2 linked regions of the Caenorhabditis elegans genome follow. The protein of the gene in region 1 interacts with the protein of each later gene in a pairwise test. Each region holds a gene or a part of one and is shown on either strand. Other genes may lie near its edges.

Region 1 (4,159 bases):
CAGGAACTTTTATTCCAGTTGGTATTCTGCTCATTGTTTCCGTCGAATCAGAAGTTGGTGACGAGTCTTGAAAACAAAAATATCGATTCATTCTCAAGTATTTATTAAATTTATTCTTGAGGAATAAATATTTAAATGCTATTTAACGAAAATGAAAAAAAATGCATTTCACGTGAAAACGTGCATGGCTGTGTGGCAAATTTTTTCGGAAAAAGTAGGAAAGTGCTTATTTAGAATATGACAATACACGGATTACCATGATTTCACATTAAAAGCAGTTTTGTAAATATGTTCGCCGAAAAATCTTGCCGCACATCCCTAAACACGTGGCAAACGAACCGTTTTGCGTCACCGGTGCGAACGGTGAATCGGCGGGCGGTGCAGATGGCTCAGGAGGTGAAGCCGTTGAGCCCGTCATCATCTGAAACAGTCGCTATGACAACTAAAGAAGAATGACTTCGAATATACGAATTTGGCTAGCTACCAGGTAGATTAGGAGTGGAATGAGTAGGAAAAACAGTAAAAACTATTAAGATTTATTTTCATTAACAGTTTAAAAGATCTGATGTATTTACAACGAAACAGATTCGGGAAAAGAAAACAAACAGAAAATAACAAAACAATAACCGGATGAAAGTGGAGATTTGACAAAAAGAAATCATGATTGTGAAGGAATTATATACCTAGGAAAAAGCCATTTCACAAGAATCACGTTGACATGTAAACCGGTGTAAGGCACTTTGAAATGGGAAAAAAAGTTGAGCAAATAGTTGAGAAAACCAAAATAATGAAAGAAACAGACCAGTTGAAAGTGATTTTTTCTCCGCAAATTTCAAAACAATATATACATTTCTCAGGAAAAGAGAAGAAGCCACGTTTTCCTGATCTCATTTTTTTTATCTTGTCTCGCATCTATCGAATAAAGTGAGGAAGCGAAGAAGAGCGAAGGCGGATAATTATTGACCAGCGGCAAGGAATAGGGCACTAGCAGTGAAGGAAGCCTAGATATTTTGGGGAAAAGAAACAGAAAAGAGACAATGTACAAATTGATAATAAAAAAAACTGTGTTCAACTGATACTACACGGCTTTCCATCATCCTTAAACGGATTCCTTTTTGGTGAATTACCGTTTGGACGCTCCGTTGGTGATAGATTTCCACGCGAGATTTCTATCTCACGGAGAAGCAATTCGAACACCTCATGCACTCGATTCTGAAAATTGGAAGGATGAAGCAACGTGTCGAAACCTGTAGGAACACGTTGACTAAGAGAGGTGCAGACGCTTTCCCTTTTTTTATTCGGAGATAGAAGAGAGAAGAGAGGTTGCAGAAAAAAGAAAAATTGCGAAATAAATATGGGAGGGACACATATTAGACGCAAAAATGAACACACTATGTTCGCAGTTTTCCATTTTCCGGCAGAAATCTTATTACCGATCCGTAGAATGTTTATTGGATGATTTTTTCATAGATCTCATTTAATCTAAACTTTTTATTTCATAAATAAGTTTAAAATTTCTAAAAAGTTTTATATGTATTCGTAGTTTACATTTAAATTTTCACAATTTAAAAGTATGTAGTACTCTTTTTTCTAAAAAAAATTCAACTCACCGATTCTCTGGCCGTGATCTCGACAAACTTCGCATCCCATTGTCTAGCAAGTTCTTCACCTTCTTCTGCTCGAACGACCCTTTGCGTGCTGAGATCCGTCTTGTTTCCAACAATTACAATTGGAATGCTGGAAATTCTTGATTTTTGACTGCAATTTTACTTTCTGCTCAAATACCTTGTGTCACCATAGGTTCTTACGATTTTTTCATAGATGTTGCTGCACATTTCGAATCTGAATTTATAAATCTAAATAAAACAAATAAAGAAAAAACGGAAGTCTTACGATTTTCTATCATCGATTGCATAAACAAGTATAAATCCATTAATATCAAGGGAACAACTTCTCGGGAAAACTGTGTATTCTTGTTGTCCTGCTGTGTCTGGAAATATCTAATATCAGTTTTCAGTAAGCTCAAAAAATGATAAAATTTACCAGTGACTCTTAAATGATAGTCCCTGTGAAACGCTGCTATGTGCTTCGAATGTTGATCCTCAATTGTTGATTCATACCTTTCAGGGAAAATATTTTGTGTGAAACGAAGTACCAACGCCGATTTTCCTGTAAAGTTTCTCAACGTGAATGTCCTTGTTTAAATAAAGTTGTTTTAATTTTTTCATTGCTTTGTTCAATTTTGCTCCCGGTATGTTTGATTTTCTACAAAAAAAAGTTGTCGTAAACGCTCACCAACATGAGGATATCCCATAACGGCCACTTTTCGATTCAGACTCTGACGATTTGATTGCAGCGAACTGCTCATCTTCACAAAAATGAGTATATTCTGAATATTGAATGATTGAGTTTTGATAGAAGTATAAAAAATTAATAAATAAAATAAAAAGGGAAAAGTAAAAAAATTATTTTTTTAAACACTCATCATTATTTTTAAATTCTCTATTAATATTTAACATGTAGAAACAAAGAAATGATGTACTTTTGCAATAATATGCGCTTTTTTCCTGATAAAACGAACTAAAAACCAACTGTAAATAGAGAATTGCAGGCGAGAGAGCGTGTGAAAATAAGAGACGGAGGCGCATGATACACTTCTTGGCAGCAAGCCAAACCCACCGTACCCAAGCAAACCTGCAGATCAAACTCGAGATCGATATTTCTGGCGCAAAACGGCCGCCAATTTGAGCCCTCCGCGTTGAAAGCGTTATTATCATTCGAAATTGGCATAGGTCTTATCAAGAATTATATTTTATGTTTGTACGGGCAGATATAATCTTTTTATCATCATTTTTGTTGTTCAATTAACCTCCGCAAACTTTTAAAAACTCAAAAACATTTTCCTCTGAAGTGTTTTCTTGTTTTCCCCGAATTTTGATGAGTCCTATTTTATTTATTTGTATCAATTTCAGTGAAACGAACCGTGTTTAAGTGTAGAATATGGGCGGACCAGAAAAAAACAGCACAGTACCACTGCCAAATAAGAAAAGGAAGAAGAAGACCAATAAGAAAAAGGTGAGCATTTTTCGGTTTCTGTTCAGAAGTTTTCCCTTTTTCTAAACACTTACACTTTCGAAAAATTAAAGCTCAGTCTGTTCTGACACTAAATCGAACCCAAAGAATACTCTTTTTTTCTAATGGCCTCTAGAGATTTGAAAACTTCAAACAGCTCTGTCGCATTCCCTTCATTTCACGCACTTCCGAGCTTACTCTCTTGGATGCGAGCCCTCCACTAATATATTCTCACATCAGTTTTAACTTAGATTTCTCCTTTGCCTCAAGTAAAATGAGAACGGCTTCATTATGAGCCAGTGGCAGCCGCTAATGACCCAGGGGTAGAGATAACCACTAATTTTCTTTTCTTACACTAGTTTTAAAACAAAACAAAGTGAAAATTTATGAGCATGCTTAGTATTTTGCATTCAATACATTGGCTATATCGCCGATTGAATGTGAGTTTAATAGAATTCTGCCATTAAGCTTTTTTAATCTTCATATTTCAGCCCACAGCACCAAACACGCCTACATCTCCTCAAGCGGGTGAGAAAAACGCAAATTTGAAAAATGGAACAGTTACAACAAACGGATCAAATCACGTGGAAAGGTGAGATTTTGAGTTTTTTTTTTTAATATGCTTTAATTACATCGCTGAAACCGGGACCAAAATGATTATAAGTTGTTTGGTGTAATCGTTGCATCGTCCTTTTCTCATGACAGCAACTGGTTGTCTTTTCACTTCGTCTCAAATGATCCCACCTTCGTGTGTCCGTCATCCATCCACCCATCCATCCATTCGTCCCTTCTTTTCTATCTTCTCTATTCCTTCACCTTGGCCTTTTCTCTCTGTCAGCTGTCTCCTCTTCGCGACCTGGCCGACAAGTTGAAGATTGAAACAAGGAAGAGAGACCCAGGATTTCCTCTATCTCTTGTTGGGCGCCGCAATCATTACATCACTATCACTTGAACACTCTTCCTTCTCACACCGATCGCGTTTTCTTCAAGTCGCTCCTCGCGCCTCGTTGGCCGCCGCCAATATTCTCGAGACACTTCTCGCGCCGCTGATCTTCCTTATCCCCCTTCCCACTCTCAAAGCGTCGCA
Region 2 (4,708 bases), on another chromosome or scaffold:
TGTACCAAATATAGAAATCTACTAAAGTAATCGCGAAGGTAGAATATGAATGAAGCAACCGAAAGTGACTATTGCGGCCAACTTTACCCGCGCGGTGGGCCAAGCCAGCCTGGCCAGTTGTATAATACGGGCACTATAGAAAGTTAGATCGTGCATCGAAATCCCGCAAAATACCGTACTATATATATATTCGCGCCTATTTTGTCCATAACCTATTCGTAGAGCGGATGATTGGTCACCCGGACGAGTACGGCCGCTTCTGTCATTATTTTACGATACGTTAAGTTGCGCAATTTGCGAAAACTACTACACAGACACACACACACAAGTCTACCCGCTCAAACCAACCCCAATGCTCGTCCGTTGCGTCGTCTTCAGAATCGAAGCCATTGTCTTCGTGGAAAACTAGACTCGTCGCAAATGGATGAGTGGATCGTTCCATTACCGATCGGTAGCCAGAGTCGTTTAGTAAATCCACGTCTTTTAGTGCGGTCTGGTAAACACATTTTTGAATAACAAATTATGAAATTATGAATTATGAAGTTAACAAAAGTATTCGCCCATTACGGGCCATTTTCTATTATTTAAAGCTAATTTTCCAAACAACCCAACTTTTAAATTTCAATCGATTTCATTAATTTTTTTTTTTTGTGAAATTGAAAATGAGAGAGAGAAAATTATAATGAAAATTATATTTAAATTTTCCAATAGTTTCAAACATTTTTGGCAATTGATTTCGGTAAGTTTCAAACAAAATTATTTTTTGAAAATTGGAAAAAAAGGTTAATTTTGACATGATTTTTTCATAGTTTGTGCGACCGATTATTGTTTTAAGGCATTACTAAAACGTGGAAGTTTGAGCTAAAAAAAAAGGGCATTTTGTCAGGAAATAAATTTATTAAAATGTTCGACCATAACTTTAATTCAAAAATTTTAGAAATTTAAACAGTTTCCGTTTATTTTTTGAAATATTGTCAATTGCCAATTTCTATTAAAAATGGTTTCAAAAAAATATTTTCAAAAATAAAATTATATACAAACAAGAAATAAAAATCTGTGGAGTGTACTAACAAGGAACAAGTGTAACGCGTTCAATATGAATGAATGAATAAAATAAATGTTACTACGAGTAAAATTAAACTCACTTTCAAATCCTTCAAATCAGTGTCCATATCGTAGAAAAAAGCAGGAGCCTCAATAAATTGACTGTTAGATTTTGATACAGACCTGTAAAATTAGTTATTTATGCATAGCAAAATGATTTTACTTGGTCAATAGACTTATTTCTGTTAGCCTCAAACGTTAACCCCCTTTTTTAGAAAATTGTGTTTAGCCGGTAATTGGTTGTTGTTCGACAACTAGGAGGGTCTCAACAGGTGACAGAATCGGTTATGAACATGTTTCAGATTTATTCATGAGGTTTTTCAATAAAAGATGTTCGCACTTTTGCCAGACGTAACGTTGAAGTGGAAACGGACGGCGGAGATGAAGAATGACTCTGTTTCTTGCCAATTTCCGTAGTCTGGGAAACTAACTTCCTTTGGAACGCGTTTTTTTTTCAAATGAAAATAGTTTGCTGAGAAAAATTCTCATATTCTAGCATTAAATTCAAATGAAATGTGAAAAAAATCGAAAGTATGTTTTGGCACGATTCAGAAAAATTTCACAAAGTTGAGAAGAAACACCGAAAATATTTTTTAAAGTGGAGTAGCGCCTAAAATGTACACACTTATTATGATCCAGAACGTTTAAATACTCTAATAAAACACTCCAAAAAATTTTACGTTTTTTTTTTAAATTTTTAGTCAGAGTTTTGGCAATTTACCAAATTTTTTGAAAAAAAACGAGCTTTTATGAAAGTTTAAAGCAATGTCGCACTACTAGAACACGAATAATTGAAACAAAATTGAAGTAAAAAGTCTTAGAAAAAATATTTTTTTTGTTGATTTCCAAAATTATGATTAGGAAAAACTGAGGAATTGTCACTTTTTGACACAAAATAAAAAAAATTCCGAAAACTTTGTGAACAGCTTTATTATAAAATTAATTTTATTTTGACTCCATAGGGCAGTTTTAAACATTGTCCTAACTGGCACTACTCCTCTCCTTTTTGAAATTTTCTGTCAAAGTTTTGGCAAATTGGCAAATTTTTGAAATTGCTAAAAATAGCCAATTATGTTCAAAGAATTTTTTTACAATTTTGTGTGAGGTTCTATAAAGAAATTCGTTAATTTGAGAACACAAACCTTACACCAGAAACCTTACCATATTCAAAATTAAATTCTCATTTAGTAGCATTTCATCAAAATGTGATACTAAAAAACTTCAGTACAAAGCATTGAGCCGACTCAAAACCAATCTATCTTTCTGTCAATCACTCTCATTTTTCAGGCTCACTGCTCCTTCTACGGATCAGGCTTGTGCAAATAAATGTGAAATTGAAGTTACGTAATAAAATGTGCAGAAAAATGAAAAACATTCTACTCGGGAAATTTTTGTGTTCACAAATTGTATACCCACATTGTTGAATTGCCAGGCGGAGTACTCATAATTTAAAAATTTTTTAGAGACGTAGCTGGTTGCAAATATAAAGGTTCAACTTCCGCCACTAACTTTTTTGTAGCATTTTTCCAAAACCGAACTTTGCCCGAGACGTGATGTCCCTGGAGATTTTGGTGTGGAAGTGTGTGGGTTGGTGGAAAAACACAATGTGTATGTATTTTGAGCCGGTCAAAATGTGCATCAAGATCGGTTTTTTTTTCTAGTAGAGACTGCACATAAACAAATTTTGAGTGATTTTTGGGCTCCTTAGATTAGAGAGATAGTTTCACATGATTACGCGGCGATGTCTTCGAAAACTTCACAAACTCACATGGTCATTGGTCCCCGCGATAATGTGGATGTTGTGACTTCTTCTGATGTGCTAGCAACCATGCTGCCGTAGCAGGACGGAGCCGCCTGCATTTCAAACACTCGATTCGTGAGGCCCTCCACTCTCCTGAAAGTTGGAAAGATGAACTATAAAGTCAGAAAAATGTAGAGTACAATGTATCAAGTTAAGCAAGAAAAAAACGTTCAGGAAAGCGTTTAAACTCAATTCCAAGACTCCTCGGTGCTCGTTTTTTTTTCAACGTCGGCAGTAAATGAGAGCGCAAGTTGAAAGGGCAGATGCTCTGAACGCTTTGCTTCTGTTCATCAAAGGGCATGTGTGAGTGACATTTGCGCGTGACTGATTGGATTAATTCATCAATAGGAGCAAAATGAGAAGACACTGGGGTTAGGAATCGTTGTGTGTGTGGAATACTAGTTTGAGAAAAGAAAATGTAACGGACACACATACAAATAAATTGGCTATTGAGATAATTTAAAGCAGAAATTATATTTTAATCGTAGAGTAGAGTCTTTTTGAAATATAACTGTGAAAAATTTATAAAATTTTCAATTATTCATAACTCTTTAATGATATTTTCAATTGTAAAATTGAATTCCAAATTAATGACGTCATTTTTAATATTTTTGGCTAAAGTTATTGGTTTAAAAAATTTATTTTTTATTCTACATTTGATTATAAATTTGCAAGGTTTCTTCACGTAAAAATGTCTGAAAAAATGACAACTGGGGTTTTAAACCAAATATATGAGAAAAATAAAAAATTACCTATAAATTTAGCTAGATAACCCGAAAATATAAAAAAATGACGTCACTCACTTCTGCGGGAGTTTCATTTTAATTCGTTCCTTTCTTTAGTTTTTGCAAAATTGAAAAATCATTAAAAAAACAATTAATAAATTTTATTATTTTTTTTACAATTTTATTCGGTCATTTGGGCCCAATTTCTATTATTTAAACCAAAATTATAGAATGAAAAAAAAAATTGAAATCACGTTTACATAATAAAAAAAAGACTTATTCTATATAAATATCTTAACGTGAACACATCCGATAACTATGCATAGTGATTGATTCGATATTGATGTGAACTTGTATAATTCCATCGGCCGGGGTTATTGCAGTACAGAAAAAAGTTGGGGCCGATTTGATTGGATTCTTCTAATACCTTCGGCCAAAAAAAAAACGAATCTTTTTTTTTGAATTCATAATTTATATCCTACTAGCAATCACTGTCGGTCGTCATTTTCCGGCCTTTATGTAGTGAGTGCTCTTGTTTTAGTTAATTAGTTACTTTTTGAAACTATCAAGAACTTGAAGTGGTACAGTTTTGGGAAAAGTGTTTTCAACTACATCTATGGTGCCAAAATGCCATAGTACAACTTTTCAATGTTTTTTTTTTCAATTTTATATAAACTGGCAAAAAGTGTTAATTATTTGTGTTAAAAAAAATTTTGAAAGCTGTTTTACAAATTTTTTCACTAGGATTTTTAATTATTGTGGTGCCAATAAATTATCAAAGTATACTTTATGTTTGAATAAAAAGTTTTACATTTTTGATAGCGTGATAAATAAAAAATAAAGTGTGAAATTTGAGAATTAAAATAAAAACGCTTAAGCGTTTCTGATGGATGGGAAAAGAAGAGTAAACAGAAGCCACGCAGTTTAGATGAGAATTCCATGAAATGAAATGAAAGGAAAAACCAAAGAAAAAAGGAAATATCAAGTGTCAAGAAGATGAGGATGAAGACAGCAAATGCCAGAGGCAACACCAAAATGAATGACCGTTTTTTTCTGCTCAAGACGTGCTCAGGCACTG

The links. Proteins that work in one complex are often made in the same cells at the same time.
Region 2: the proteins of rheb-1 (region 1) and cgef-1 interact in a two-hybrid assay, tested with the Caenorhabditis elegans proteins (one study listed by BioGRID).

What each region holds. Positions count from the first base shown.
Region 1 is NC_003281.10:9,453,642-9,457,800, forward strand, and holds rheb-1 (GTP-binding protein Rheb homolog 1), read right to left. Parts: upstream 2,390-4,159; 5' UTR 2,369-2,389; coding exon 2,296-2,368; intron 2,170-2,295; coding exon 2,044-2,169; intron 1,991-2,043; coding exon 1,894-1,990; intron 1,843-1,893; coding exon 1,786-1,842; intron 1,738-1,785; coding exon 1,611-1,737; intron 1,213-1,610; coding exon 1,069-1,212; 3' UTR 522-1,068; downstream 1-521. Other genes in the region: F54C8.7 (AH domain-containing protein), read right to left, coding at 1-66, 340-418. UniProt on the Caenorhabditis elegans protein: Binds GTP and exhibits intrinsic GTPase activity.
Region 2 is NC_003284.9:2,770,334-2,775,041, reverse strand, and holds the start of cgef-1 (DH domain-containing protein), read right to left. Parts: upstream 3,001-4,708; 5' UTR 2,965-3,000; coding exon 2,873-2,964; intron 2,850-2,872; exon of another isoform or gene 2,738-2,849; intron 1,228-2,737; coding exon 1,146-1,227; intron 494-1,145; coding exon 349-493; intron 219-348; exon of another isoform or gene 41-218; intron 1-40.